3 linked regions of the Anolis sagrei genome follow. Each later gene encodes a partner of the first gene's protein in a complex. Links are inferred from orthologs where the notes say so. Each region holds a gene or a part of one and is shown in the gene's direction. Other genes may lie near its edges.

Region 1 (10,755 bases):
CTCTCACAGAGCCTCCTCTCACACCAAAGGTACACAGAAGCTTAACACAGTAGCTTTTTACACACAACAGCTTTCATACTAGAGCTTCACACATGATGGTCTTCAATCTGGGGCTTCACTCACCAAATCTTGTCAAACTGAGGCCAAACTCACACTGAGGCCTTCTCACACTGAGGCAAACTAACACTGAGGCGTACTAACACACAGAGATCCTTCTCCCACAGAGACTTCTCATAGACTAAGGGATACCTGCTTATATAGAACTACAGCTTTTTCTGAGCCATTGCATCCATTTAACCCTTTTAGTGCTTGACTCATATTTTTGTAATTAAAAATACCTAATTAATTTTTAATATTCCTGACAAGCAGGTCATTTCACCGCAGCGGATCCCTGCGACCGTAGCTCCTTCACTCCTGATGTCCCCAATGGTCTTCAGCCAGTCAAACCCGGCTCCACCAAAACCAAATGAAAGCTGCTGGCTGCCGGTTGCAAACCAAGAAGCCACTCCCAGTTCAGCAAACCTTCTCCTGCCTCTGCAGAACCCAGAACCTCCAGTTGGAAACCTAAATCCACTGACAAAGCTGCAGCTACAGGAAACGCTACTGCATCTAATTCGGGTAAACATCAGATATTCTTATCTTCTTTATTTTGATAAAAAACTGTGTGTGAGAGCCCAGCAATTCCCTTTCCTAACTGAGAATGGGTAAAGGATCCTGGATGGGATTAATACTTGGTTTTACATTATTGAACATCTTATTTAATTCAGTAGGGGTTTTATATGCTGTTTTGATGAACGTTGTTTTATGTAAATTGTCATTGTTATTGGTTTTATTTTATCTTGTGTATTTTACTGCACTATCACATGCTTCTGTAAGCTGCCCCGAGTCCCTTGTAATTATTAATATCATCATTATTATTATTTGATGCATAACAAGATTAGTACACAGCAATTGTATTCACTATGCTGGCTTTTGCATTCGATCACACATTGGACACTTCCCGAGCATCTAGGACTATGAGATGTATCGGTAAATAATGCGTGCAGATCCCAGTAGGGTAGCCTTTTGCAGCGGACAGATGGTAATTTTGTCAGAGCCAATTGTTTTTAAGTGCAGGCCAAGGTCTTTAGGCACTGCACCCAGTGTGCCAATTACCACTGGGACCATCTTGACTAGCTTGTGCCAAAGTCGTCATCGTCGTCGTCATCATCATCATCATCATCATTCTGACACAAAAACACAGTATGACACAGTAAACAAGATATATATGCTGGATTTCGTATCACAAAATCACAAGTCAAACACTTTCCAAGCGTTTACGACTATGTGATATATTTTCAAAAAATTCAAAAGTACAGGTGGACCACTAGGACCATCCGTACTGGTTTATGCCAGAGCCTTTGCAGTTCGAGGGCCTGATAACACCTAAGTTTTTCCTGTTGTTTTTCGTCAATTTGGCTGTCACCTGGTATGGCAACATCAATAATCCAATTTTTCTTTTCCAGAATCATTTATTATTATTATTATTATTATTATTATTATTATTATTGGATGATGTTTTAATTAAGAGATACTTATGATTTAGTTTTAATTGATTTTGCTAAGATATTATATTACATGTTAATGTTTTTAAATGTTTTATGCTGTTGTGGGCATTAAATTTTTGCCTTTGTTAACCACCCTGAGTTGCCTGAGAGGGGCGACTATATATCATCATCATCATCTTTAATTACTTATTAATCGTCCTCCATCCGAGATGCTCTAGGCGATTTACATAGCAGAAATTATACAGGATAAAACACATTACATACAAATATTAATAAATTAACATGAGTCAAATGCTCTAGTAAAAAGCCAGGTCTTAAGTGCTAGAATAAAAGGCCCTAAGTCACGCATTTACTATATAAATATAGTAAATAAATAAATAAACGATTATTATTATTATTATTATTATTATTATTATTATTATTATTCCTCTTTTTTTTGCATTAACAAATGATATGTTTTTCCCTCCCCAGAATGACGATAATTTCCTAAACATCATCTACGACGCTTACGTTGCCAAGTCAAGAAGAGAAGACTCGAAAAAGACTCTGTGAAGCATATATATATATATATATATATTTTAATCCAAAGTCTATCCTCCTCTTGAATTTTTAAAACAATGAAAGACATTGGCATCTTGCAAACCTTTAAATGACGCTTATTGACAAGCAGGTGACGATTTTAATGGACGGAAACTGATAGTGCCTTTTTGGAGCTGGGACTTGGCCACAAATTTGAAATACCTTGTGCTGTTTTTTTTCTTACTTGGACTCTATGTCAGATGGCATACATTTTGATATTTTGTCATTACTGTGCCGATCCTTTGGGTGGGTTTCCTTTCAAATACATGTTCTGTGGGTACTTTGCCAGGATTTTTTCCTCCCTTGTACATAGTTATTCTCTTGTATAATGCAGTAATATCTGCAAAGAGTGGTACTTGTTGCTGAGCAACAGAAGGCAGCTTAAGACTTGTTCATAAAAAAGAAAAGAAAGCTTGGGCTGAAAAAAGCAATCACTATTTACAGCTTCATTGTCACAAAAAAGCCACATTCCTCCCAAAGAGTTTACCCACTTGTTGACATTCTTTTTCATAGCTTATTGAAACTATTTCGAAAGCTACAAACAAGGTTGATTGAAGATGACAACAGGGTAGAACAGGCATGGGCAAACTTCGGCCCTCCGGGTGTTTTGGACTTCAACTCCCACAATTCCTAACAGCCTATCGGCTGTTAGGAATTGTGGGAGTTGAAGTCCAAAACACCCGGAGGGCTGAAGTTTGCCGAATATTGAGCACACTAAATCCCCATTAAAACCAAGTACTCTTCAAAATGTGTATTGCAACTCATTCCCAAATAACCTTTGATGAAAAAAAACATTTTTTCTTTTTTTTAAATTAAAAAAATATCCCTCCTTTTCTAAGCAAATATTTTTCTATTAAGCGACCAGACTATTCATAGCAAAGCAACAGATGGTGAAATTCTAGCTTTTCGAAGACAGGCTTCTGTTTCCAGCTGTTTGGCCTCTTAGATGCCGATCTAAGCCAGCGCAGGGCTGCAATACTTCTCTAGGAAATAGCTCCATCATTTTAAGACGTTTTGTTAAAAATAGCAAAAAGGACGAATATTTTAATTTTCACAGTCTTCCATGACCCGCTGGACAATGGTTTCAATTACTCATTTTTAAGAAAAATAAAATAAAAATAGGAATACACAGATTCCTGTTTGGATGCATGTTATTACATCAGCTCTCGGCTTACCGCAGGCATGGGAAAACTTTGGCCCTCCAAATTGGACTTCAACTCCCACAAATCCTAACCTGGGATCAGATCCTGGGATATACTTAGGCGATCCCTCGTTGGCAGAGTAGGATAATCTTCCAGGATCAGTATTCTGGTGGGTCCGTAGGTGACTGTGGAGCCCTATTCTTGATCTGCATCTTCTCCCGCAGTGAGGGCATTGGTTTCCAGGTGGAAGGCGGTCTCTGTCGGGATTGACTTGACGCGCCTTCCTCTTGGCATGTTTCTCTCTTTCACCCTCCATTCGTGCCTCTTCAAATTCTGCAGCACTGCTGGTCACAGCTGACCTCCAGCTGGAGCACTCAAGGGCCAGGACTTCCCAGTTTTCAGTGTCTATGCCAGAGTTTTTAAGCTTGGCCAGATAGGCCCTATATCCTGGGATATAGGGCCTATCTGGAAGAGCCCTTAGATAGTGTTGTGTATGCCTGCTTGCAGCATGGAATTCGACTTCCTACTCTAAATTTCTTTCAGGCTGGCTGGGTTTATTTATTTATTTCATGTAAAAGCACTGCATAAATACCATGGTAAATAATGTACCATGCAGCTGTGGACAAGTCTACAGAGGGACCACCAAACGCAGCTTTGCCCAAACACGAATCAAGGAACATGAAAGGCGCTGCAGACTAATTCAACCAGAAAAGCCAGCCATAGGAGAGCACCCGATGAACCAACCTGGACACAGCCTATTATTTGAAAGCACAGAAATGTTGGACCACTCTCACAACCACCATGTCAGACAACACAGAGAATCCACTGAAATCCATAAGCATGTGGACAATTTCAACAGAAAGGAGGAAACCATGAAAATGAACAAAATCTAGCTACTAGTATTTTTAAAAATTCTAAAATCAGGACACTAAATAAAGAGCAACACTCAAAAATCAGGGGAATTCGAGAGAAGATACAATCATGGCCAGGTTACACCTCCCAACAAAGGACTCCCCAGGCAGCAATCACTCAGGCTTTGAAGCTGCAAGGCCATTAAATGCTAATCAAGGTGGCCAATTGCAACATTCACACTTTCCCCAAACAGACGAGAGTTCTTTTTCCCACCCTGGACATTCCAAAGATATATAAAACTCACCTGCCTAGTTTCCAGAAGACCCCTCAACATGTGAGGATGCCTGCCATAGATGTGTGTGAAATGTCAGGAGAGAATGCTTCTGGAACTTTGCCAGACAGCCTGGCAAACTCAGGGTAGCTTACAAGGATGTTATTGCGGGCAGCTACTTTGTGCTTGGTGTTTGCATAGCATTTCCTAAATATTAGTGTTCTGTCTAAGGCAGGGATCCTCAAACTAACAACCAGGGGCCGGATGTGGCCCCCCAAGGTCATTTACCCGGCCCTCGCTCAGTGTCAACATAAGTCTGAAATGACTTGAAAGCACAAAACAACAATCCTATCTCATCAGCCAAAAGCAGGCCCACACTTCCCATTCATATGCTAATAAGTTTATATTTGGGTTGTTGTAGGTTTTTTCGGGCTATATGGCCATGTTCTAGAGGCATTTCTCCTGACATTTCGCCTGCATCTATGGCAAGCATCCTCAGAGGTAGTGAGGTCTGTTGGAACTCGGAAAATTGGTTTATATATCTGTGGAATTACCAGGATAGGACAAAGGACTCTTGTCTGCTGGAGCTAAGTGTGAATGTTTCAACTGACCACCTTGATTAGCATTTGATTGCCTGGCAGTGCCTGGAGCAATCTTTTGTTGAGAGGTGATTAGATGTCCTTGTTTGTTTCCTCTCTGTTGTTGTGCTGTTCTAATTTTAGAGTTTTTTTTTTTAATACTGGTAGCCAGATTTTGTTCATTTCAATGGTTTCCTCCTTTCTGTTGAAATTGTCCACCTGCTAATCAAGGTGGTCAGTTGAAACATTCACACCTAGCTCCTGCAGGCAAGAGTCCTTTCTCCCACCCTGGTCATTCCACAGATATATAAACTCTTTTTCCTAGTTCCAACAGACCTCACTACCTCTGAGGATGCTTCCCATAGATGCAGGCGAAACGTCAGGAGAGAATGCCTCTAGAACATGGCCATATAGCCCGAAAAAACCCACAAGAACCTAACAAAATGAAGAACAATTTAAACAAATATAAACGTATTGTCGAAGGCTTTCATGGCCGGAATCACTGGGTTGTTGTAGGTTTTTTCGGGCTATACGGCCATGTTCTAGAGACATTTCTCCTGACGTTTTGCCTGCATCTATAGTAAGAATCCTCAGAGGTAGTGAGGTCTGTTGGAACTAGGAAAAAAGGTTTATATTTCTGTGGAATGACCAGGGTGGGACAAAGAACTCTTGCCTGCTGGAGCTAGGTGTGAATGTTTCAACTGACCACGTTGATTAGCATTTGATGGCCTGGCAGTGCCTGGGGGAATCTTTTGTTGAGAGGTGTTAAGATGTGCCTGAAAGAAACCCAGCCATCCTGAAAGAAATCTAGAGTAGGAAGTTGAATCCTATGCTGCAAGCAGGCATACACAACACTATCTAAGAGGGCTCTTCCAGATAGGTCCTATATCCCAGGATATAGGGCCTATCTGGCCAACCTTAAAAACTCTGGCATAGACACTGAAAACTGGGAAGCCCTGGCCCTTGAGTGCTCAAGCTGGAGGTCAGCTGTGACCAGCAGTGCTGCAGAATTTGAAGAGGCATGAATGGAGGGTGAAAGAGAGAAACGTGCCAAGAGGAAGGTGCGTCAAGCCAACCCTGACTGAGACGGCCTTTCACCTGGAAACCAATGCCCTTACTACAGGAGAAGATGCAGATCAAGAATAGGGCTCCACAGTCACCTAGGGACTGATCCTGGAAGACTATCCTACTTGGCCAACGAGGGATTGCCTAATGTAGACTTGTCTTCATTTTAATTATTGCATTCTTTTCATGTTTTTTTCCAATTATAATCTGGCCCTCCAACAGTTTGAGGGACTGTGACCTGGCCCTCTGTTTCAAAAGTTTGAAGATCCCTGGTCTAAGGCCTGCTGGGTGAAAACTTAAGTCTACAGGTGTAATCAATGCCTTGCGCATGCGCATATGGGTGTGCAGTAGAAGAAGGAGGCGCTCTGGGATGCGGCTGCAATACCACTGCTAGGGCGCAGGTGGCGCTGTCATGCAACGGCGTTCTGAGAGCCGGAAGCGGAAGTAGGGTCGCGTGAGGGAGAAAGGAGGAGGAAGAAGAGGCCGATGGTGGACCTTTCTCGCCGCGGCCGTCGGCGGTGATGGCGGCCGTTCTGTCCCCGCGGGTATGTGACAGCGACCCGGCCACGCCTGGAACCCAGTCCCTCAAGGTGAGAGCCGCTTTCCCCTCAAAGCCTCGCCGAGAAGCGCTGAGGGAGGCGTTTGCATCCTGTGAGGCCTGCTACGGCCGCCATCTTGGATCCCCTCCAAGGCAGGGAAAAAGCTTTTTCTCCTCAGGCCATTCTCATTAGATATTTTTAAGAATTAATATAGGAGTTGGCCATAACAAAACAACACCCTACAACAGGGAGAAATGCAAAATACTCCACTTAGGCAGAAAAAACCCAAACAACACTATAACAGGGACAAAGGCAAAACACTTTGGCAGAAAAAAATGAAATGCTAAAATACAGAATGGGGGACAATGAGGCCTGGCTCGAGAGCAGTACGTGTGAAAAAGATCTTGGAGTCCTCGTGGACAACAAGTTAAACATGAGCCAACAATGTGATGTGGCGGCAAAAAAAGCCAATGGGATTTTGGCCTGCATCAATAGGAGCATAGTGTCTAGATCTAGGGAAGTAGTGCTACCCCTCTATTCTGCTTTGGTTAGACCACATCTGGAATATTGTGTCCAATTCTGGGCACCACAATTCAAGAGAGATATTGACAAGCTGGAATGTGTCCAGAGGAGGGCGACTAAAATGATCAAGGGTCTGGAGAACAAGCCCTATGAGGAGCGGCTTAGGGAACTGGGCATGTTTAGCCTGAAGAAGAGAAGGCTGAGAGGAGATATGATAGCCATTTATAAATATGTGAGAGGAAGCCACAGGGAGGAGGGAGCAAGCTTGTTTTCTGCTTCCCTGGAGACTAGGACGCAATGGAACAATGGCTTCAAACTAGCCGTTCAGCAGTGGAACTCTCTGTCCCGGAGTGTGGGGGAGGCTCCTTCTTTGGAAGCTTTTAAGCAGAGGCTGGATGGCCATCTGTCAGGGGTGATTTGAATGCAATATTCCTGCTTCTTGGCAGAATGGGGTTGGACTGGATGGCCCATGAGGTCTCTTCCAACTCTTTGATTCTATGATTCTATGAGCCAACAATGTCATGTGGCGGCAAAAAAAGCCAGTGGGATTTTGGCCTGCATCAGTAGGAGCAAAGTGTCTAGATCTAGGGAAGTCATGCTCTCCATGCTAAAGCTTGAAATCATCATTTGCTGTTGAGCCATGATGTTGTTTTCATGATGTTGTCTGATTATGATGTTTTGTTGATTTTTGGTTGTTGATTGTTAAATGGACGAACCCAGAGGGTGCTCACCAATGCTTCCTCTTCAACTTGGAAAGAAGTGACGAGCAGCGTGCCGCAGGGTTCTGTCCTGGGCCCGGTCCTGTTCAACATCTTTATTAATTACTTAGATGAAGGGTTAGAAGGCAGGATCATCAAGTTTGCAGACGACACCAAATTGGGAGGGATAGCCAATACTCCAGAGGACAGGAGCAGGATTCAAAACGATCTTGACAGATTAGAGAGATGGGCCAAAACTAACAAAATGAAGTTCAACAGTGACAAATGCAAGATACTTCACTTTGGCAGGAAAAACGAAATGCAAAGATACAGAATGGGGGACAATGCCTGGCTCGAGAGCAGTACATGTGAAAAAAATCTTGGGCGTCCTCTTGGACAACAAGTTAAACATGAGCCAACAATGTGATGTGGCGGCAAAAAAAGCCAGTGGGATTTTGGCCTGCATCAATAGGAGCCTAGTGTCTAGATCTAGGGAAGTCATGCTCCCCATGCTCTATTCTGCTTTGGTTAGACCACACCTGGAATATTGTGTCCCATTCTGGGCACCACAATTCAACAGAGATATTGACAAGCTGGAATGTGTCCAGAGGAGGGTGACTAAAATGATCAAGGATTTGGAGAACAATCCCTATGAGGAGCGGCTTAAGGAGCTGGGTGAGCCAACACCCTGAGATATGGATGGAGGATGATGAGCAACAATTTTAGTGTGATGACTGACCATTATAGTTATTGAGTGTAATTGCTGTTTTAATATTTTACTGTAATATGTATTATGATGTTTTATTGATTGTATGTGATATTATGGTTGGAAACCGGTCTGAGTCCCTCAAGAGAGGTAAGAAGGCCGGTATAAAAAACTTTTAAATAAATAAATATTTAATAATAATAATAATAATTTAAAAAACTTTTATTTATACCCCGCTACCATCTCCCCAAGGGACTCATTGCGGCTTACATTTAGCCTGAAGAAGAGAAGGCTGAGAGGAGATATGATAGCCATGCATAAATATGTGAGAGGAAGCCAAAGGGAGGAGGGAGCAAGCTTGTTTTCTGCTTCCCTGGAGACTAGGACGCGGAACAATGGCTTCAAACTACAAGAGAGAAGATTCCATCTGAACACGAGGAAGAACTTCCTGACTGTGAGAGCCATTCAGCAGTGGAACTCTCTACCCCAGAGTGTGGTGGATAGTCCTTCTTTGGAAGCTTTTAAACAGAGGCTGGATGGCCATCTGTCAGGGGTGCTTTGAATGCAATATTCCTGCTTCTTGGCAGAATGGGGTTGGACTGAATGGCCCATGAGGTCTCTTCCAACTCTTTGATTCTATGATTCTAAGTTAAACATGAGCCAACAATGTGATGTGGTGGCAAAAAAAGCCAATGGGATTTTGGTCTACATCAATAGGAGCATAGTGTCTAGATCGAGGGAAGTAATGCTACCCATGCTCTATTCTGCCTTGGTTAGACCACACCTGGAATATTGTGTCCAATTCTGGGCACTACAATTGAAGGGAGATGTTGACAAGCTGGAATATGTCCAGAGGACGGCGACTAAAATGATCAAGGGTCTGGAGAATAAGCCCTATGAGGAGCGGCTTAAGGAGCTGGGTGAGCCAACACCCTGAGATATGGATGGAGGATGATGAGCAACGATTTTAGTGTGACGACTGACCATTATAGTTATTGATTGTAATTGCTGTTTTAATGTTTTACTGTAATATGTATTATGATGTTTTATTGATTGTATGTGATATTATGGTTGGAAACCGGTCTGAGTCCCTCATAAATAAATAAATAAATATGTAATAATAATAATAATAGTAATTTTAAAAAACTTTTATTTATACCCCGCTACCATCTCCCCAAGGGACTCGGTGCGGCTTACATTTAGCCTGAAGAAGAGGAAGGCTGAGAGGAGATATGATAAAATGATCAAGGGTCTGGAGAACAAGCCCTATTTATTTTATTTACAGTATTTCTATTCCGCCCTTCTCACCCCGCAGGGGACTCAGGGCGGATTACAATGTACTATATACATGGCAAACATTCAATGCCATAGGCACACAACATAAATAGACAGACACAGAGGCAATTTAACATTCCAGCACAGACAGACACAGAGGCAATTTAACATTCCAAGGTGTAAGTCACCTTGGATCTCATCTTGGGAGAAAGGTGGATATTAAATAACGTAACTGAACAGCTTATCTATCCGAACGTATCTCTCCTTATGAATCATCTAGGACTTTAAGATAGTCTGCGGAGGCCCTGCTCTTGATCCCGCTTTCCTACAGATACGTTTGGCGGAGACAAGAGACAGGGCCTTCTCAGTGGTGGCCCCTCAGCTATGGAACACCCTCCCCAGGGATAACAGTTCGGCTCCCTCCCTTCTAACATTCTGCAAAATAGTTAAGACCTGGCTCTTCGAGCAAACGTTTTCTGCTGGAGCAAAATTAGATGTAAACGAACATATGGAATTACTGACGATGCAACTGGACAACGATTTTTGTAAGGAGACGCCGAGGATCTAGTTTTTACAGATATATTTGCTTTTTATATTACATTTTAAATGTTGAATTGTTTATAATTGTTTTAATTGCATTTTTGATATTTGTTATGGCATCTAATCGCTGCCGACTGTGAATCGCCTTGATTCGCCTCTGGCTGAGAAAGGCGGTATACAAATGCGATAAATAAATACATTGGTATAGAGTTTGGATAAAAAGTCTTAACAAACCTGGGGATTAGATTAAGATTTGTTGGTTTAGGGTTTTAATGTAACCTTACCTTAAAGCTTAATAGATATGTGATTACTGTATTATGACTTTACAGCATTGTAATATTTGTGCTTTTGGTTCAGGATGATACTGAAGACAATTCAAACGATGGCAGCCAACCATCTAAAAGACGGCGAATGGGCTCAGGGGACAGTTCACGAAGTTGT
Region 2 (10,654 bases), on another chromosome or scaffold:
AAGAAACTTAATATAGTATAGTGTCTCATCAACCTGAAATAAATACAATTTTATATATGACTATACATTTTTCTTTCAAACTGCTAAATCTAAATTCCTCTGTAAACTTAACATTAGCATTAAGTTTTTAAAGAACAAAACAAGTACTGTATGACCTTACAATGTAATTAGAAGACTGGATTACTGATTTTTAGAATTCAGATGGAACTACTTGTTGTCAGTATGTCTTGACAAACCAGGATTCATGTATTCTTTATTTAGGTCCTCAGTAGCATGTAATACATTTTACTAGAGTGTCTACAGTTGCCTTTCATATGGCATGTGTAAGACATGATACAGCAAGTATATTGCGGCATTTAGTTAACTTCCAGCTTTTAACAACATAGAAAAATGAGCCATTCTTTAATTGAAAATAATGTGCTAGCTGTTAACATTTAATCTTAATAAACTCTGATCTAGCATTCTTACTACTTATTTACTTGGCATTCTAAATGTAAAACTGTCTTATTTCTCTGTGCAGCTTTTCTGTTTTCGTTGGGACATCATTTGTACTTTTTACAATACTTGGATTTAAAATTAAACTTTAAATTGCCTTTAAGAAATAGGAATATGAATTTACCAAAGTAAATGATGCCACTGTCATGCTGAAAATAAATCCAAGTCTGACAAATATAATATTTACATCCTGTGGATCTTCTCAAAAAAGAATCAGGAATGGAGGAACTCTTATTCATATGTCAGCAAATGTGCCATAGTCACATTTATTAGTCTTCTTTCCAGATGTTCAGAACACAAAGTAACATATAGAGATAGAAATGAAATAAGAATTCATTTAGATTTGTTATGAATGTATCTAACGTGTATTATAAGAATGTATTATAAGACATAAGTATATCTTTCTATTACTGACACTCAGAACAAACAACAAGCCTCGAATTCTTCTTTTTCTCTGAATTTTTCACAAATATGCATGATTTTCTGAATAGATGAAAAATGCAAGCACACACTTTAATCCATGTGCAATGTGTATTTTTAAAAGATATCTCCAAACATGAATAGATTAGGAAAAGTGTGCACCAAGATATCCAGTTTCTGGGGGGAATCTTGCCTTTGAGTTTAGTGAAAACCAATAATTACTGGCTGAAAATCATAAATGCCCATATCTAAGGCTGGATCTACATTGCTCTATATCCTAGGATCTGAACCTAGATTATCTGCTTATCCCAAATTATCTGGCAGTGTAGATGCATATAATCCAGTTCAAAGCAGATAATCTGAGATATAGGGCAGTGCAGATCCACCTTAATTGCAAATCCCAGGATTTCATAAAATGTTGCCCAAGAAGTTACAGTGGAATAATAACACTATAACTATGTAATCTGAAAGGCTTTCTAGACTTTCCATTTCTATTATTTTCTCTTTAGTATTCTTTGTTTTCATTTAAACAGCTTTTGTTTTAATCTCTGTTTGATTACTTGGAGTTCCTTTTAAGCATAATGTACTTTTCTTAGAATGATCATTGGAACAAAGGTGATACAATCCCTGAGTTGTAGAAATCTCTTAGGTAAAACTCTTTTTAATATTATAAGTGTTTCTATTGCCACATTTGGCTTTGCCAACATTCACTAATAGTTTATTCTGATAAATAAGTGCTTAAGACACAGCATGATTACACAACCAGCAGACATACTAACAAAAAAACTCAAAAACATATACACCCTTTAAATGTTACACAAGACTTGCCATAGGTGCAATCCCATCCATCAGATGACTGCCAACTATCATTATCTCTTTTTAAAAACCTCACAAAGTAATAAATTTCACCCTAAAAAGTGCCGTTAACTTTCAAAATCTACTTAAAGAAAAAAAAAGAGAGGATAAAAATCAGCACTTTGCTATTCTCTAACTCAGTACAATATGAACCCTGAAGAAATAGTGAACATTCAAAGGAAATGAGTATGCACATTCCTTACTGAAAGTAAATATTTTGTTTAGCTGTACAAATCTCAAGGTAGGTTTTAGATTTTTCTCTTTATTCAGACATGCCACAAGAGTGAAATTGACTATGGCCATCTAAAATAAATAGACAAAATAAAATCCATCAACAGGCCAAGGGGGATGTCACATCCTAACATGATAGGATTTGTCTTGTCTCTCTTAATCAGCCTTCAAAGTGTTCTGTGCTAATACATTTTAAGACAAAATACAGGTAGTGTGCTGTCACGCGCTGGGCCTATAGCAATTGGCTTTTGAACAGGACGTGCTCTTTGTGCCCAGCAGGAAGCCGGGGTGCCTTGGATGAGAGGCCCTATAGATTTTCCTATACAAAGTCTTTAGAAGTTTAAAAGTTTAACAAAGTTCTTTATTATTGCTTAGGTCTTCAACAAACAATCTTAGATCTTCAACAAATCAAACAAATGCTTCTTAACTTGTCTACAATGGACAGGCAACTTGCTTGGAGAATTATTTTCTTTCCTTTATGAGGAAAACCCTTTTTGACCCCTCCCTGGACAATCAGCTTTCTAGGCTTTGCTGGTGTGGGCCCTACTCCCGGTTCCAAATTACTTCTTGGGTACCCAAGTAAACCTACCAGCCAAGGCTCTGAAGAATTTCCAGCTGGAGTCCTTAGGATTTTTCCCACAAAAGTTGTAGGTCTGTTTCTTCAACACCAACAAGGGTTGTGCAGTAAAGCTGTTTCTCTTAAATGCCTTTCTTTAAAGACTGTTCTTAAAGCTGTGAGGATGTAAATTCCCCAGCCAGAGCTTTTGAGATTCTTTTCCCCCGGACTTTGTAAGAAACGAAGCTTCTCTACAGGTAGAAAACTTTCATGTCCTGTAGCTGAGCTTCCAACTGTAAGACCGAACTAAAATGGTTCCCTTTCCCTCCTGAACCTGGAAAAAAGGGCAGAACTAAAACTTAACGATGATAGACAGGTGGCTAGCCCCATGACTGCAGCCTAGCAGGAACCATCCAACTGCAAAATGCATGGCCAGAACAAGCACATGCAAACGTTCAAAGAACTAAAGGGAGTTTGGAGCTCTTTGTACAGCCGTACCAGCACAGGTGGTATGGAAGAATGGGGTGAACATATTTTTGGGGATGATTTGAAAGAAAGGAGAAGGAGAGACGCTGCAAGACATATATGTTCTAGGTTTTTTTTCTTTTTCTTTTTTCTTTATTGCGCTACAAATAAGTGTGCAAAGGAATGTGTTTTTTTTTTTCAAACTATACTCTGGTCCCCCAACAGGCTGAGGGAACCTCATCTTAAAAAGTATGGACACCCCTGTTTTAAATAGTATTCTACTTCTCATCCAAATACCTCTGGCTGAAAAACAGTATTTTAAAACCAAACATATCTTTACAGACTTTACAATATTGAAATCAGGAGTACTGAAGTGACAGCTTCATACTGAATTCTCCTTTCATCCAATGAATCCAAAATGCCCTTAACAAATTACAGAGGTGGGTCAAAACTGACAAAATGAATTTCAACAAGGAGAAATGCACAGTACTAAATGAAGGCAGTAAAAATGAAATGCACAGATACAGGATGGGTGGCACCCAGCTTGAAAATAGGACATGTGAAAGGGATCTGGGAGTCTTGGTAAAACATAAACTGAACATGAGTCAACAGTGTGATGAGGCAGCTCAAAAATCAAATGCTCTTCTAGGCATCACTGGGAGTATCACGTTGAAATTGATGGAAGCCATAGTCCCACTGTATTCTGCTTTGGTCAGACTTCAACTGGAATCCTGTGTCCGTTTCTGGCCATCACAATTCAAGAAGGATTTTGACAAGTTACAATGTAGAAGGGTAGAGGAACGACTTAGGGAGCTGAGTATGTTTAGCTTGGAGAGAAGAAGATGAGAGGGGACATGACAGCCGTGTTTAAATATTCGAAAGAACTTCACATTAAGGGGGGCTATGAGCTTGTTTTCTGCTGCTCTGGAGAGTAGGAGATGGGGGTGGAGCAATGGATAAAATTGCAAGGAAAAATGATTCCATCTTATATTAGGAAAACTTCCTGATAGTAAGAACTATTGGACAGTGTAACATGCTGCCTCGGAACATGGTGAAGTCTTCTTCTCTGGAGGTTTTTAAGCAGAGGCTGGATGCGCATCTGTCAGGGATACTGGGTGTCCATCCTCTCATTCAGAAGGATCATGAAAAGAAATGTTCTTGATGCATATGATCCTAATGTTCAGAGGGCCTTAAAAATGGGGGAAGGTCAATGCAAAGCTCCAAATACATTTATGACTTTATCACATGAGGCAGGCAAACCTGCCATGTGTAATTCCACGACTGATTTGCCTCCCCACCCCGATGATTCTGCTGTCACTAGCTATTGTTGGGTAAACCTAACCAATATCTCCCGATCCCACAATGTTATAATCATCTGCCATGGTACAATATGTCCCTTCTGCTTTTGTGCTGACAGCAAAGCAATTTCAGGGGGTAGGATCCTCCTCTCCTCTTCCCCTGCCTCACTATTCCCAAACTGGCTGTTCAATGTTACCTGCTGCCCAAGGCAAAACTGGCCTATATCTTGCTCAGGTTCTCTCTGGCCCAGACTTAGTTATGAAACAAAAGCATTAAGCAAACCAACAGAGAGCTACTAGAGCCCAAGGATAAATTGGGAGCAAATAACGCAAATGTAATAGGAGGTTGCAGTATTTGTTGCTGTCGTTTTGAGTTATTTAAAGCACATTTCAGCCTCTTTTCAACTTGGGAACATGTGATGAGCTAGGAGGTGAAAAATTTGCAATGTGATGAGGTCGATTGCTGGAGTTCCCTCCTTTCAGGATACTTCTGCCTCTCTTCAATCAAAGAGGGTTATGCATGACTTCCAGAAATAATTTAACTCATGTGATGAGCTCAGTGCCTATCCATGTTTGAATAGAGGCTGAAGTGTCCTGTGACTGGGAGATGTCTCAATGTGATAAAGTGCCAAGTTGAAGGAGGTCTGAGACCTGTAGCATTAGGAAAAATAAAGGCGGAGTCTGAGGGACCTTCCACACAGCCATATAACCCAGAATATCAAGGCTGAATAACCCCACAATATGTTTTGAACTGGGTGATCTGAGGGTCTTTCCACACAGCCCTATATCTCAGAATATCAAGGCAGAAAATCCCATAATATCTGCTTTGAACTCAGATGTGGGATTTTCTGCCTTGATATTAATGACTGCAATGTGATTAGACTACTGCAATGCGCTCTATGTGGGGCTGCCTTTGAATACTGCCTGGAAGCTTTAATTAATCCAACAGTCAGCAGCCAGGTTGCTCACCGGAGCGGCATACAGGGAGCAACCAACTCCTCTGTTACGCCAGCTCCACTGCTTGCCGATCTGCTACCAAGCTCAATCCAAAGTGCTGGTTTTAACCTTTAAACAGCTCTGGCCTAGACTACATGTCCGAACGTATCTCCTACTACGAATCATCACGAAGTTTAAGATCGAAGGCTTTCATGGCCGGAATCACTGGATAGTTGTAGGTTTTTTCGGGCTATATGGCCATATAGCCCAAAAAAACCTGCAACAACCAAGTTTAAGATCATCTGGAAAGGCCCTGCTCTTGATCCCATTGCCACTGCAAACGTGATTAGTGGAGATGACAGGGCCTTCTCAACAGTGGCTCCCTGTCTGTGGAATTCCCTCCCCAAAGACATCAGATTAGCCATCTCCCTCTTGTCCTTTAGAAGGAAACTCAAGACTTGGCTGTGGGACCTTGCATTTGGCCATTGAATAGTGGCATGTATGAAGAAGACATAAGCAAATTCGAAGTGACAATTAATTGAGCCAGACCAGAATTTTAATTGGTGTGTTAACTGTTTATGTGAGAAGGGTGGGGTGCAAGTATCTGAAATAAATAAATAAATAAATAAATAATATTCTGGGATACAGTGCTATGTGGAAGGGCCCTTAGTCCACACTGCCTTATATCCCAATTCAAAGCAAATGTGGGATTTCATCCAGCTGTGTGGAAGGGGCCTGTCTCAAGAAAGGCCGTCAAACCCCAGCTTGGAACATTGTTTTAAAAGGCAATTGGTTGCAGCAGCAACAACTCAAATACTTAAGCCACCATCCCAAAGTTGCTCAGGTTGTATGGATTCATCACGCTCCTCACGCAATGCCGATCGATGACGTCATCACGTCATCCAGCACGCTCTCTCCTCCTCCCTCCTCCACTTTTCCCTTAGCTTGGAATTCAAAGCAGCACTTTCACGTCGTTGCCACGGCAACCTTCGGAAGAGAGGACGTCTTGAAACTCAAGAGGAGGAAAGTATATGTGTACTGTTTAAAGTGGAATTCGAGAGGATTTTCTTGTTAGGTTTTTACCTTTTTTTCTTACCTAGCGAAAGGGAGGTCTGTGTGGAAAGTGCTGAAGCAGGAACGGAAATAGTGAAATAGAGGCCGCCTCGCCGCCGCCTTCCTTCTCCATCCCCGCCTTTCTTGGTTCGTGTCGAGACAAAAGAAGCGAGAGAGAGGCCTCGAGTCCGAGTGGGACGCGGGTGAGTCTGAAGGACGTGGCTGGGGCTTGGCTGAGGAGGCATATTGGGGTGCGGGACCCCAGAAATCCTCCTTCCTCGGCCACGCCAAAGCCAGAGGCCTTTCCAGGCCGGTGTGAAGGGAGGCCTGTTTCTGAGAGGAAGGTTTTTCTTCATCGTTGTCGATTATAATTAACGCTGAGGCCGACTTGAAATATACTGCAGTATTATCATAATGCAGTTAAAGTGCGTTGTATGAGTCTACACTGATCATACAATACACTGGTCGAAATACCTTCTGTTTTTTTTAATTTCTTGAATTATATTATTTATTTTCTCAATTCCTAATTATTATAATGATTTAATGATTTAATATTACTTCTTTTTTTGTATAAGTAAGTTTTATTTTGTTTCCAAAAGAACAAAAGAAAAACATTACAAAAGGGGAGGAATTTCTGAGTATTCCTTGCCTAACAAACGCCTATGAAATTCATAATGTTGTCATAAGTCGACAGGCAACTTGCATATATAAATGGACACACTCTTAAAACCAACACTTAGTAATACAAAAGAAAAGAATTATAAGTACTCACTTATTAGATTGTATTATTTCCCAGATATGAACAGGAAAGAACCACCACAGTAATACTACTAAAAGGTAAAGGTTGTCCCCTGGCATTAAGTCCAGTCATGTCTGACTCTGGGGGTTGGTGCTCATCTCCATTTCTAAGCCGAAGAGCCTGCGTTGTCCATAGACACCTCCAAGGTCATGTGGCCAGCATAACTGCATGGAGCACTGTCCCTTTCCTGCTGGAGCAGTACCTACTGATCAACTCACATTTGCATGTTTTTGAACTGCTAGGTTGGCAGAAGCTGGGGCTAACAACAGGAGCTCACACCACTCCCCAGATTCGAACCTGCTACCTATTGATCTGCTCACATTTGCATGTTTTCCAGCTGCTAGGTTGGCAGAAGCTAGGGCTGACAGAGGAAGCTCATGCCACTCCCCAGAATAGAACCTGCGACCTTTCGGTCAACAAACTCAGCAGCTCAGCACTTTAACCCACTGTGCCACCGGGGGCTCCAGTAATACTACTACTACTACTACTAATAATAATAATATAAACCCTTATTTATATTCCACCCTATCTCCCTGGGGGACTCAGGGCAGATACCAACATACAAAAAGGAAAACATTCAATGCCTCAATAATTTATTTATTGTATTTACAACATTTATATGCCGCCCTTCTCACCCCAAAGGGGACTCAGAATGGCTTACAAGAGATATATATATATACACACACAATATACTGTATTAATAGCATAGTACAATAACAGTATTAAATATTACTATATTGTATTATACCATTATATTGTAATATTATTAGTAATATTACATGTAACATAAATATATAATTATAATACCATATTATTAGTAGTATTATATTGCATTACATTAAAACAAATAAGTGCCAGCAAATAACCCAAATTAACACCACATATGAAGACATTAGAACCTAACATCAATAAATTAAACACAACATAATCAACAAAGTAGCCTAACCTTTCCAAGACATACGTGTGTGCTTTCCACTTACAGAACCATGAAGCCAGCAGGAAATTGTAAGTTACCTGGGAAGGTCAAGAGGTTGAACATTGTTTCCATCCTAAATATCTTTGTGTCATCTTAGATTGAACGCTAACATATAGGAAACACTGCAGGAACACCAAACACAAAGTAGCTGCATGCAATAACATCCTGCAGAAACTTAACTGGCAGCACATGGGGTGCAGACCCAAAATTAATAAGAACATCTGCCCTGGCCTTGTCTTACTCAGCTGCCAAGTATGCCTGCCCTGTTTTATTATTATTATTATTAAACTATTTGTACCCCGCTAGCATCTCCCGAAGGACTCGATGCGGCTTACACAACTCTGCCCACGTGAAGCAAGTGAACATAGTGATGAACAAAACATACAGAGTGATCACATAATGTCTTAAACCTACACCTGTTGATAAACTCTACAAGCTAGCTGGCATTCCCCCCCCCCCCCCATGTGTCACAGGAAGTTGCTACTAACTGAGAGAAATAAGGTTGAACACTGAAAGCCATCCACTGCATGGTTATCAGCCTCCTCCCAGTAGACTAATCAAGGAAAAGCGTCATGTGAACCACCACTCATCTTAACGTTTTCCCAGAAACAGCAAGAGTATCGTTCTAAGCAGCTAATCCAATTGGATGCCCCCCCCCCCCACGAGGATCTGTCTCTAGGGGCAAACTAAGAATGGGAAACTTGGAGGTCCCCGAACAAACTCAGAAGTGGAGTGGACAGATCACAAAACAACCTGACAAAATGGCACTACCTAAAAGAATCCTCCACCTTGTGTGGCTACGGAGCAGAACAGACAACTCCGCATCTGTATGCTTGCCTGCAATGTCCTGCCTCATGTACAGAAAAAGATTTGTTTGAGGCTATAGACCAGGGGTCCCCAAACTACGGCCCACGGGCCACTTCCGGCCCGCCAAGGGCCCCGATCCGGCCCGCAGAGGAGGAGCGCCCCCCCCCCCACACACACACACACACAGTGCCCCTCCGTTGGCAGGCTCACGCTATCTATCAGGCCTGATGGACAGTGTGAGCCAGCCAAGGGAGGCTGCTCCGCGTGGTCTACTCGCAAGTAAAGCACCTTGCGAGGCGCTTTACTCACAAGTAGGCCACATGAGCCAGCCAAGGGAGGTTGCTCCGCGTGGTCTACCCGCGAGTAAAGCACCTCGCGAGGCGCTTTACTCACAAGTAGGCCACATGAGCCAGCCAAGGGAGGCTGCTCTGCGTGGTCTACTCACAAGTAGGCCGCGCGGGCCTGCTCCTCCCTTGGCAGGCTCACGCTATCCGTCAGGCCTGATAGACAGCGTGAGCCAGCCAAGGGAGGCTGCCCTGGCGCTACATGCAGTCATGCTGGCCACATGACCTTGGAGGTGTCTATGGACAACGCCGGCTCTTCGACTTAGAAATGTAGATGAGCACCACAGAGTCAGACACGACTGGACTTCATGTCAGAGGAAAACCTTTAACCAGGAAAATTGTGGGTGGGAGAAAGAACTCTTGTCTGTTGGAGGTAGGTATGAATGTTTCAATTGGCCACCTTGATTGCCATTTCATAGCCTGACAGTTTTTAGGGAGAATCCTTTGTTGAGAGATGATTAGCTGGCCCTGATTGTTTCTTGTCTGGAGTTCCCCTGTGTTTGAGTGTTGTTCTTTATTTACAGTTATAATTTTAGAGTTTTTTAAATACTGGTAGCCAGATTTTTGGTCAGACTAGAAATAGGAAGATTTCCCATTCTCTGCTCCTGGAATTACTGCCTAAAGAGGGCTAGAAAGAACCCCCTCTAAGGGCCCTTCCACACAGCAAAATAAGATATGTGCAATGTGCAGAGGAATTTTTTAATTGATTTTTTTAAAAAAACAACAACTATAGTCCGGCCCTCCATCGGTCTGAGGGACAGTAAACTGGCCCCCGGTTTAAAAAGTTTGAGGACCCCTGCTATAGACAATGTGATCACTGTTGCCTATTTTTGGTCAAAAGATATTTAGCAGCTTGTGCTTCTATTTTTATCAGTTTTATCATACTAATTTATGCAATGCTTTTTATACTAAATAAATAAATAAAATCAACAAAATTATATAATGGCATAAAACTGAAACAGTAAAAACATCCACATTCTCCTATTTTGGTTACTGTGGTGGTTTTTTTCTGCTCATATCTTGGAAATAGTACAGTCTAATGAATGAATTATATGTAATTATTTTCTTTTTCCTGTAATTGAGGCATACCAAATAGCCTAAGTACTTTAAAGGGACCAGATCCCATCTGATCTTGGAAGCTAAGCATGGTCACCACTGGTTAGTACTTTGATGGGGGACTTACAACAAATAGCAGGTGCTCTAGTCTATATTTCAGTGGAAGGAACTGACATCATTCTGAGAATCCTTTGCTTTAAGAAAACCCTATGAAATTAATGGCATCACTGTAAGTAAACAAGTGACTTGAAGATACAAACACACATACATTGCCCAATACAAAACAGAATAAATGATGTAAGTTGAAGTCTAACATCTGGGAGAAGGATTAAATATCCCCCATCCCTGGTTTAAATCCTAAAC
Region 3 (9,762 bases), on another chromosome or scaffold:
TATTGAATTCCAAAATCATAGAATCATAGAATCCTAGAGTAGGAAGAGACCTCCTGGGGCATCCTCCAGTCCAACCCCATTCTGCCAAGAAGCAGGAATATTGCATTCAAATCACCCCTGACAGATGGCCATCCAGCCTCTGTTTCAAAGCTTCCAAAGAAGGAGCCTCCACCACACTCCGGGGCAGAGAGTTCCACTGCTGAACGGCTCTCACAGTCAGGAAGTTCTTCCTCATGTTCAGATGGAATCTCCTCTCTTGTAGTTACCTGGGAAATACCTATATGGTTCATATATGGTTCAAATAGGTGGATGACACCTTCACCCTTTGGAGCCATGGAGAAGAAGAACTCAACAGGTTCCTGGACCATCTGAACAGCATCCACCCAAACATATGGTTCAGATATGTGGATGACACCTTCACCCTTTGGAGCCATGGAGAAGAAGAACTCAACAGGTTCCTGGACCATCTGAACAGCATCCACCCAAACATATGGTTCAGATATGTGGATGACACCTTCACCCTTTGGAGCCATGGAGAAGAAGAACTCAACAGGTAACCTGGACCATCTCAACAGCATCCACCCAAACATATGGTTCAGATATGTGGATGACACCTTCACCCTTTGGAGCCATGGAGAAGAAGAACTCAACAGGTTCCTGGACCATCTCAACAGCATCCACCCAAACATATGGTTCAGATATGTGGATGACACTTTCACCATTTGGAGCCATGGAGAAGAAGAACTCAACAGGTTCCTGGACCATCTCAACAGCATCCACCCAAACATATGGTTCAGATATGTGGATGACACCTTCACCCTTTGGAGCCACGGAGAAGAAGAACTCAACAGGTTCCTGGACCATCTCAACAGCATCCACCCAAACATATGGTTCAGAGATGTGGATGACACCTTCACCCTTTGGAGCCATGGAGAAGAAGAACTCAACAGGTTCCTGGACCATCTCAACAGCATCCACCCAAACATATGGTTCAGAGATGTGGATGACACCTTCACCCTTTGGAGCCATGGAGAAGAAGAACTCAACAGGTTCCTGGACCATCTGAACAGCATCCACCCAAACATATGGTTCAGATATGTGGATGACACCTTCACCCTTTGGAGCCATGGAGAAGAAGAACTCAACAGGTAACCTGGACCATCTCAACAGCATCCACCCAAACATATGGTTCAGATATGTGGATGACACCTTCACCATTTGGAGCCATGGAGAAGAAGAACTCAACAGGTTCCTGGACCATCTCAACAGCATCCACCCAAACATCCAATTCACCATGGAAAAAGAAAATGAAGGAAGACTGCCTTTCCTAGATGTCCTAGTCAACTGCAAACCAGATCAACAATTGGGTCACACCGTCTACAGAATTTACAGAATCATAGAATCCTAGAGTTGGAAGAAACCTCCTGGGCCATCCAGTCCAATCCAATCCTATTCTGCCAAGAACCAGGAAAAATGCATTCAAAGCACCCCCGACAGATGGCCAGTGGAGCCTCCACCACACTCCGGAACCAACCTGGACACAGCATATTATTTGAGAACACAGAAGTGCTGGACCACTCTCACAACCACCATGTCAGGCTACATGGAGAAGCCTCTGAAATCCACAAGAAGCATGTGGACAATTCCAACAGAAAGGAGGAAACCATGAACATGAACACAATCTGGCTACCAGTACTAAAAAAAACTCTAAAATTATAACAGCAAAACAGCAGAGAGGAAACAAACAAGGACATCTAATCACCTCTCAACAAAAGTTTGCCCCAGGCACTGCCAGGCCATCAGATGCTAATCAAGGCGGTCAGTTGAAACATTATGGAGCCCCCGGTGGTGCAGTGGGTTAAACCCCTTCTGTGCCGGCAGGACTGAAGACCGCACAGGTTGCAGGTTCGAATCCGGGGAGAGGCGGATGAGCTCCCTCTATCAGCTCCAGCTCCTCATGCAAAGGGGACATGAGAGAAGCCTCCCACAAGGATGATAAAAACATCAAAACATCCAAGCAGTGTCCCCTGGGCAACGTCCCAACGTCCTTGCATACGGTCAATTATCTCACACCAGAAGCGACTTGCAGTTTCTCAAGTCACTCCTGACACGACCAAAAAAAAGTTGAAACATTCCCACCTACCTCCAGCAGACAAGAGTCCTTTGTCCCACCCTGGTCATTCCACAGATATGTAAACCCTTTTTCCTAGTTCCAACATACCTCTCTACCTCTGAGGATGCTTGCCATAGGTGCAGGTGAAACGTCAGGAGAGAATGCTTCTGGAACATGGCCATATAGCCCCCATATAACCCATCCACACCTAGCTCCAGCAGACAAGAGTCCTTTGCCCCACCTGGTTATTCCACAGATCTATAAACCCATTTTCCTACTTCCAACGTACCTCTCTACCTCTGAGGATGCTTGCCATAGATGCAGGCGAAACGTCAGGAGAGAGTGCTTCTGGAACATGGCCAGACGGACTTGAAAACTTACAGCAGGCCAGTGATTCCGGCCCTGTTAGCCTTTGACAATACGATTCCAAAACACCTGGAAGTGGGAGGGGCCTGAGGCCAGGAATTGTGGGAGTTGAAGTCCAAAACACCTGGAGGGAAGGCCCAAGTGGGCCCAGGCCTGGTGTATACACACACACACACACTGTTTTATTCCTCGTCATGATTTACTTATTAATTCAAACACTTTTTAAAAAAAACCCAATGCCATTGATAATGTAAATAATATCTCCTTTTTTGACTTCAGTTTGGAAGAGTTCCTTGCTTTAAAACGCGGGAAGTCAGGCAGTGAGGAAGACAGCCCTCCTCTCCTCCTCTGGGGTCCTTCAGGGTTTCCCATACGCGACGCTAGGCCGTCGCCCCTAGCAACACGCCACGCCCCCGCTACAGTTCCGAAGAGTTCCTTGCTTTAGGTTCTTGTGGGGTTTTTTTCGGGCTATATGGCCATGTTCTAGCAGCATTCTCTCCTGACGTTTCGCCTGCATCTATGGCAAGCATCCTCAGAGGTTGTGAGGTCTGTTGGAACTAGGAAAAAGGGGTTTATATATCTGTGGAATGACCAGGGTGGGACAAAGGACTCTTGTCTGCTGGAGCTAGGTGTGAATCTGTGCCTGGTTTCTTCCTCTTCTTCCAGAGAGGAAGAAACCAGGCACAGATTAACACCTCCCAGCAACAGACTTTCCCAGGTTCAGGCAGGCCTTCAAATGCTAATGAAGGTGATTAGCTAAACATTCACACCTAATTGCAGCAGGGAAGAGCTCCTTGCCCCACCCCAGCCATTCCACAGATATATAAACCCATTGTCCTAATTCCAACAGACCTCACGACCTCTGAGGATGCTTGCCATAGATGCAGGCGAAACGTCAGGAGAAATGCCTCTAGAACATGGCCATACAGCGCGAAAAAACCCACAAGAACTAGGTGTGAATGTTTCAACTGACCAATTTGATTAGCATTTGAAGGCCTGGCTGAGCCTGGGAAAATCTTTTGTTGAGAGGTGATTAGATGTTCTTGTTTGTTTCCTCTCTGTTGTTTTGCTGTTGTAATTTTTGAGTTTTTTTAATACTGGTAGCCAGATTGTGTTCATTTTCATGGTTTCCTCCTTTCTGTTGAAATTGTCCACATGCGTCTTGTGGGTGTCAATGGCTTCTCTGTGTAGCCTGACATGGTGGCTGTTGGTGTGGTCCAGCATTTCTGTGTTTTCAAATAATATGCTGTGTCCAGGCTGGTTCATCAGGTGCTCTGCTATGGCTGACTTCTCTGGTTGAAGTAGTCTGCAGTGCCTTTCATGTTCCTGGATTCGTGTCTGGGCAATGCTGCATTTGGTGGTCCCTATGTAGACTTGTCCACAGCTGCATGGGATACAATGGTAGACTCCTGAGAGGTGAGAGGGTCCCTCTTGTCCTTTGCTGAAGGGAGCATTGGTTGGATTTTCTTGGTGGGTCTGGAGATGGTTTGTATGTTGTGTTTCCTCATCAGCTTCCTTCTTCGGTCAGTGGTTCCCTTGATGTCTGGCAGGAACACTTTTCCTCTGGGTGGATCTTCCTCTTTACTCTCGTGGCTTGTTCTTGGTCTTGCAGCTCTTCTGATGCCTGAGGTGGAGTCTCCCTTGGCCTGGAGAGCCCAGTTGAGGTGGTTCAGTTCATCTTGGAGGAGGTGGGCTTCGCAGATTCCTTTTGCATGGTCTGCCAAGGCTTTGATGGGGCTTCTTTTTTGACTTGGGTGATGGTTGGAGTTTTTATGTAGATATCTATCTGTGTGTGTGGGTTTTCTGTAGACGGTGTGACCCAATTGTTGATCTGGTTTGCGGATGACGAGGACATCTAGAGAAGGCAGTCTTCCTTCATTTTCTTTTTCTATGGTAAACTGGATGTTTGGGTGGATGCTGTTCAGATGCTCCAGGAACCTGTTGAGTTCTTCTCCTCCATGGCCCCAAATAGTGAAGGTGTCATCCACATCTCTGAACCATATGTTTGGGTGGATGCTGTTCAGATGGTCCAGGAACCTGTTGAGTTCTTCTTCTCCATGGCTCCAAAGGGTGAAGGTGTCATCCACATATCTGAACCATATGGTGGGCTTTTTGAAACATTCACACCTAGCTCCAGCACACAAGAGCTCTTTGCCCCACCCTGGACATCATTCCACAGATATATAAACCCAATTTCCCTAGTTCCAACAGACCTCACAACCTCTAAGGATGCTTGCCATAGATGCAGGTGAAACGTCAGGAGAGAATGCCTCTAGACCATGGCCATAGAGCCCGAAAACAACCAATTCTCACCTAGCTCCAGCAGACAAGAGTCCTTTGTCCCACCTTGGTCATTCCACAGATATATAAACCCATTTTTTCCTACTTCCAACAGACCTCACAACCTCTGAGGATGCTTTCCATAGATGCAGGCGAAACGTCAGGAGAGAATGCCTCTAGAACATGGCCCTATAGCCCGAAAAAACCCACAAGAACCTAGTGAGGGAGACAACTTTAGTCAGGCAGTGGGGAGGACAGCCCTTCTCTCCTCAGGGGTCCTTCAGGGCTGCGTCACCGCGCACGACGCTAGACCGTCGCCCCTAGCAACAAGCCACGCCCCCAGCACGGTTCCGAAGAGTTCCTCGCTTTAGTCAGGCAGTGAGGGAGAGAACTTTAGTCAGGCAGTGGGGAGGACAGCCCTTCTCTCCTCAGGGGTCCTTCAGGTTTTCCCATACGGGATGCTAGACCGTTGCCCCTAGCAACAAGCCACGCCCCCACCACGGTTTCGAAGAGTTCCTCGCTTTAGTCAGGCAGTGGGGAAGACAGCCCTTCTCTCCTTCTCTGGGGTCCTTCAGGGCTGCGTCACCGCGCTCGACGCTAGACTGTCGCCCCTAGCAACAAGCCACGCCCCGTTAAAGGCGCGAAAAGGAAGCGGGGATAAAGTGGCCAATGGGAAGTGCCGGAAGAGGCGCGCCCGTGATGACGCAGGGCAGGCACGCCCCCTTCTCGGCGCAGGCGCAGTCCGTCTCCTGCTCCTCCTGTTCTTGTGAGGCGTAGGATGATGATGGCGCTGAGCAAGACCTTCGGGCAGAAGCCCGTCAAGTTCCAGCTGGAAGAAGATGGCGAGTTCTACATGATCGGATCCGAGGTGAAGCCGGGGAGAAGGGGAAGAAGGGAAGGAAGGAAGGGAAAGGGAGGGAGGAGGCCTGGCCTGCCTTCCTTTCATTCAGGAGAAGGAGAAGGGTGGATTGGGCCTTGTGGTCGCTTCTTCTTCCCCATCTTGTTGTTGTTGTTGTTGTTGTTATTATTATTATTATTATTATTATGTGGTATCTTTTAACCACTCTATCCTGTATTATTAATATTCTTCTACCATGATTAATATTAACAATACATGATAGAGTTGGAAGAGACTTAATAATAATAATAATAATAGGAACAATATTAATATTGTTCTATTATTATTATTATTATTATTAAGTCTCTTCCAACTCTATCATGTATTAATAATATTGGGTTGCTTTTTTCTGTGGGAGGCAAATGTGAATGTTGTAATTAATCACCTTGATTAGCATTGCACAGCCTTGCAGCTTCAAGGCCTGGCTGATTCCTGCCTGGGGGAATCCTTTGTTGGGAGGTGTTCACTGGTGCTGATCGTTTCATGTCTGGAATTCCCTTGCATTCAGATTATTAATATTGTTCTATCATGTTTTATTTATTTATTTATTTATTTACTTACAGCTTTTATGTTCCGCCCTTCTCCTCACTCCACAGGGTACTCAGGGCGGATTACAGTGTACACATATATGGCAAACATTCAGTGCCAATTTTTTACATACAAACATATACAGACATACACAGAGGCTATTTAACTTTTTCTGGCTGCTTTCCTCGTCCATCTGCGATGCTGATGAAGCACTTCCGCATTCCCCGCATGCTTCCCCGCTGGAATGCTTTGCTGGAGTCTTCTTTATGGCCTCATAAATCAGTTAATTTAGCCTCCCCACACTTTAAGGTGGTACCTAATTTTCCTACTTGACAGATGCAACTGTCCTTTGGGCTGCAAAGGTCGACAACAGGCTACACACAATTGCTTGGAAGCCCACTCCAACCCGGGCTGGCTTCGAACTCATGACCTTTTGGCCAGAATGATCTTAATGCAGCTGACACTCAGCCAGCTGCGCCACAATCCCGGTATTATTAATATTAATCACGATAGAACAATATTAATATCAACAATACATGATAGAGATGGAAGAGACAATAATAATAATAGACCAGTAATAAATAAATAAATAAAGCTTTATTTGTACCCCGCTACCCTCTCCCCAAGGGACTCAGTGCGGCTTACATAAGGCTGAGCCCACAATACATCAATACAAGCAATAACAACAACAATACAAAGCAATTAAAATAAATCTCAAACACAAATAGCATAAACATTGACAATAGCACAACACACATTTAAAATCTATGGCTGGGCCAAATGTAATTAAAATTTAAAATAATGCTGGGCATGAACAAGATAGGGAGATGGGGCGTTGGAGGGAACATTCAAACAATCCTAAATCAGAAATGTCAGGAGAGAATGCCTCTAGACCATGGCCATATAGCCCGAAAAAACCTACAACAACCCAATCCTAAATCAGTATAAGGTGCTTTAGAGGACATAGTATTTATATTAATATTGTTCTATTATTATTATTATTATTATTATTATTATTATTATAAATATTGGTCTATTATTATTATTGTCTCTCTAACTCTATCATGTATATTAACACTGTTCTATTATTATTATTATTATTATTATCCACTGAGCTGCTGAACTTGTTGACCAAAAAATCACAGGTTCAAATCTGGGGAGCGGGGTGATCTCCCGCTGTTAGCCCCAGCTTCTGCCAACCTGGCAGTTTGAAAATATGCAGGTGTGAGTCGATCAATAGGAACTGCTCTGGTGGGAAGGTAACGGTGCTCCATGCCGGCCACATGACCTTGGAGGTGTCTACAGGCAATGCCAGCTCTTCAGCTTAGACATGGAGATGAGCACCACCCCCCAGAGTTGGACACGACTTTACCTACTTTACCTATGACTATTAGCTATTACTATTATTGTCTCTTCCAACTCTATCATATATTATTAATATTAGTACTGTTATATCATATATTATTACCATTTATCATAGAACAATATTGATATTGGTTTGTTGTAGGTTTTTTTGGGCTATATGGCCATGGTTTAGAGGCATTCTCTCCTGACGTTACTCCTGCATCTATGGCAAGCATCCTCAGAGGTAGTGAGTTCTGTTGGAAGTAGGAAAAAGGGTTTATATCTCTGTGGAATGATGACCAGGGAGGGACAAAGGACTCTTGTCTGCTGGAGCTAGGTGTGAATGTTTCAACTGACCACCTTGATTAGCATTTTATGGCCTGACAGTGCCTAGAGCAAACTTTTGTTAAGAGGTAATTAGATGTCCTTGTTTGTTTTTTCTCTGTTGTTGTTCTGTTGTAATTTTAGAGTTTTTTAATACTGGTGTTATCATTATTGAATGCCCCTTTTAGAAGGGAAGAGGGAGATGGTGTAGGGCATAGAGACCTTTTTCCGCCCTTCTCCTTCTCCCACCCACTTCCTCTCCTTCCCTTCTTTCTCCTCCGCCTTCCCCAATCCACCAATGCAGGTGGGGAACTACCTGCGCATGTTCCGGGGCTCCCTCTACAAGCGCTACCCGTCCCTCTGGAGGCGCCTGGCCACCGTCGAGGAGCGGAAGAAGATCGTGGCCTCCTCCCATGGTGAGGATGGAGTCGTCTGGGCCTCTGCTGGGAGGGATTGGATGGGCTTACCCTGCCCCATAATGTTATTATATACAAAGCATGGAATGTCCATAATATTAGAAAGGCTGACATTTAAATCATCGCAGTCGCGTTTTGGGGATGGGGACAAGGGACAGGCCTTTTCTGTGGTGACCCCTCAGCTGTGGATCTGCTCCATCCCTCCTGAGCTTTCGGAAACAAGTGGAATCCTGGCTATGGGATCAGGCCTTTGCAGACTAGGCTGACCTGCTGCCAAAGCGACGGCTTTAGTGGACTTGACGGACTGCTTTTAGGACGATGACTTAAATTGGTGACTGTTTGAATGTTTTTATATTGTTTTTGTTTAAATTGTATATTTATGCTTTTGGTTGTGGGCACCATGGCGTGCCGGTTGTGAGCCGCCCTGAGTCCCTCTGCGGAGGTCAAAATAGGACGGGATACAAATGTCCGAAATAAATAATAATTAAATGCACATCCTCCTCATCTCTCTCTTTCTCTCTCTTTGCAGAGTCCCAGCGGAGCCACAGCCCACGCAGATGTAAGTCATTGAGTCCCAGAGTTGGGAGGGATCTCTAAAGGCCATCCAGCCCAACCCCACACAGAAAGGAACAATCCGATCCCTTTCGACAGATGGCCATCCAGCCTCTGCTTAAAAACCTCCAGAGACGGAAGGAGTCGGAGGGACGGTGACTTCCCTCAGTGTGTTACACACTAGTCTCAAATGGGTGGATGCAGCCCAGAATCACATTGGCTTATCTTGCTGTTGCATCCCACTTTTAATACTATCATGTTCAGATTCTCATCTGTGAGGACTCCTCGGCCCCTTTCGTAAACAGATATCGCCCATCAATTCCCTGTGATGATTCCCTCTGTATTCAGCCCAGAATTGCATTGGTGTGTTTTGCTTCTATTGAGACGCCTAGATATTTCATAGACAGATATTGCCTGTCCCTATCCCATAATAAGCTCAATAAACCCATTCATATCCTATCCCATAATATTCAGCGGACAATCACATTGGCCTTTTTTGCTGCAGCGCCACATTTAGCTCATGTTTACTTTATTGTCTGTTACGATTCCTAGGTCCCACAGGTTGCGAAGCCATGTCTCATTCACTCATATCCTATATTACTTACTGTTGCACCCCAGATCAGGAAACGAGACCATAAAATTAAATCCACCACACTGGACTGTAGGAGAAACAATCCTTTTTTATTGATGAAAAATTGGTTACAAAAGAAAGGTAAATGCAAAGTCAAAAAGCCACAATAGAAACAGCAGTCAGGACAATCTCTGAACTTGAGCAAAATTCCAAAAACCACAATACAAGAACCAGGAACCTGTTAGCCTCTCGCTAACCAGGTACTTGAAAACTAGAAGCCTCTGGGATTACCGGCCATGGAACACAGGAATTCTGCCAAGGCACAGCCACAGTCCAAAACGTTGCTTGATCTAACAAGACACCCGGAAGG

The links. The genes of interacting proteins can lie anywhere in the genome.
Region 2: PHF10 (region 1) and SMARCE1 share a complex: the UniProt entries of both Homo sapiens proteins name them as parts of the neural progenitors-specific chromatin remodeling complex. The link is inferred for Anolis sagrei from reciprocal best matches to the Homo sapiens genes PHF10 and SMARCE1.
Region 3: PHF10 (region 1) and SMARCB1 share a complex: the UniProt entries of both Homo sapiens proteins name them as parts of the neural progenitors-specific chromatin remodeling complex. The link is inferred for Anolis sagrei from reciprocal best matches to the Homo sapiens genes PHF10 and SMARCB1.

The regions. Positions count from the first base shown.
Region 1 is NC_090025.1:190,181,434-190,192,188, forward strand, and holds the start of PHF10 (PHD finger protein 10), read left to right. Parts: upstream 1-6,471; 5' UTR 6,472-6,555; coding exon 6,556-6,624; intron 6,625-10,671; coding exon 10,672-10,755. Other genes in the region: DCP1B (mRNA-decapping enzyme 1B), read left to right, coding at 370-618, 2,019-2,099. UniProt on the Homo sapiens protein: Involved in transcription activity regulation by chromatin remodeling. Belongs to the neural progenitors-specific chromatin remodeling complex (npBAF complex) and is required for the proliferation of neural progenitors.
Region 2 is NC_090026.1:39,301,869-39,312,522, forward strand, and holds the start of SMARCE1 (SWI/SNF-related matrix-associated actin-dependent regulator of chromatin subfamily E member 1), read left to right. Parts: upstream 1-6,387; 5' UTR 6,388-6,512; intron 6,513-10,654. UniProt on the Homo sapiens protein: Involved in transcriptional activation and repression of select genes by chromatin remodeling (alteration of DNA-nucleosome topology).
Region 3 is NC_090026.1:662,689-672,450, forward strand, and holds the start of SMARCB1 (SWI/SNF-related matrix-associated actin-dependent regulator of chromatin subfamily B member 1), read left to right. Parts: upstream 1-5,495; 5' UTR 5,496-5,537; coding exon 5,538-5,627; intron 5,628-8,157; coding exon 8,158-8,269; intron 8,270-8,798; coding exon 8,799-8,828; intron 8,829-9,762.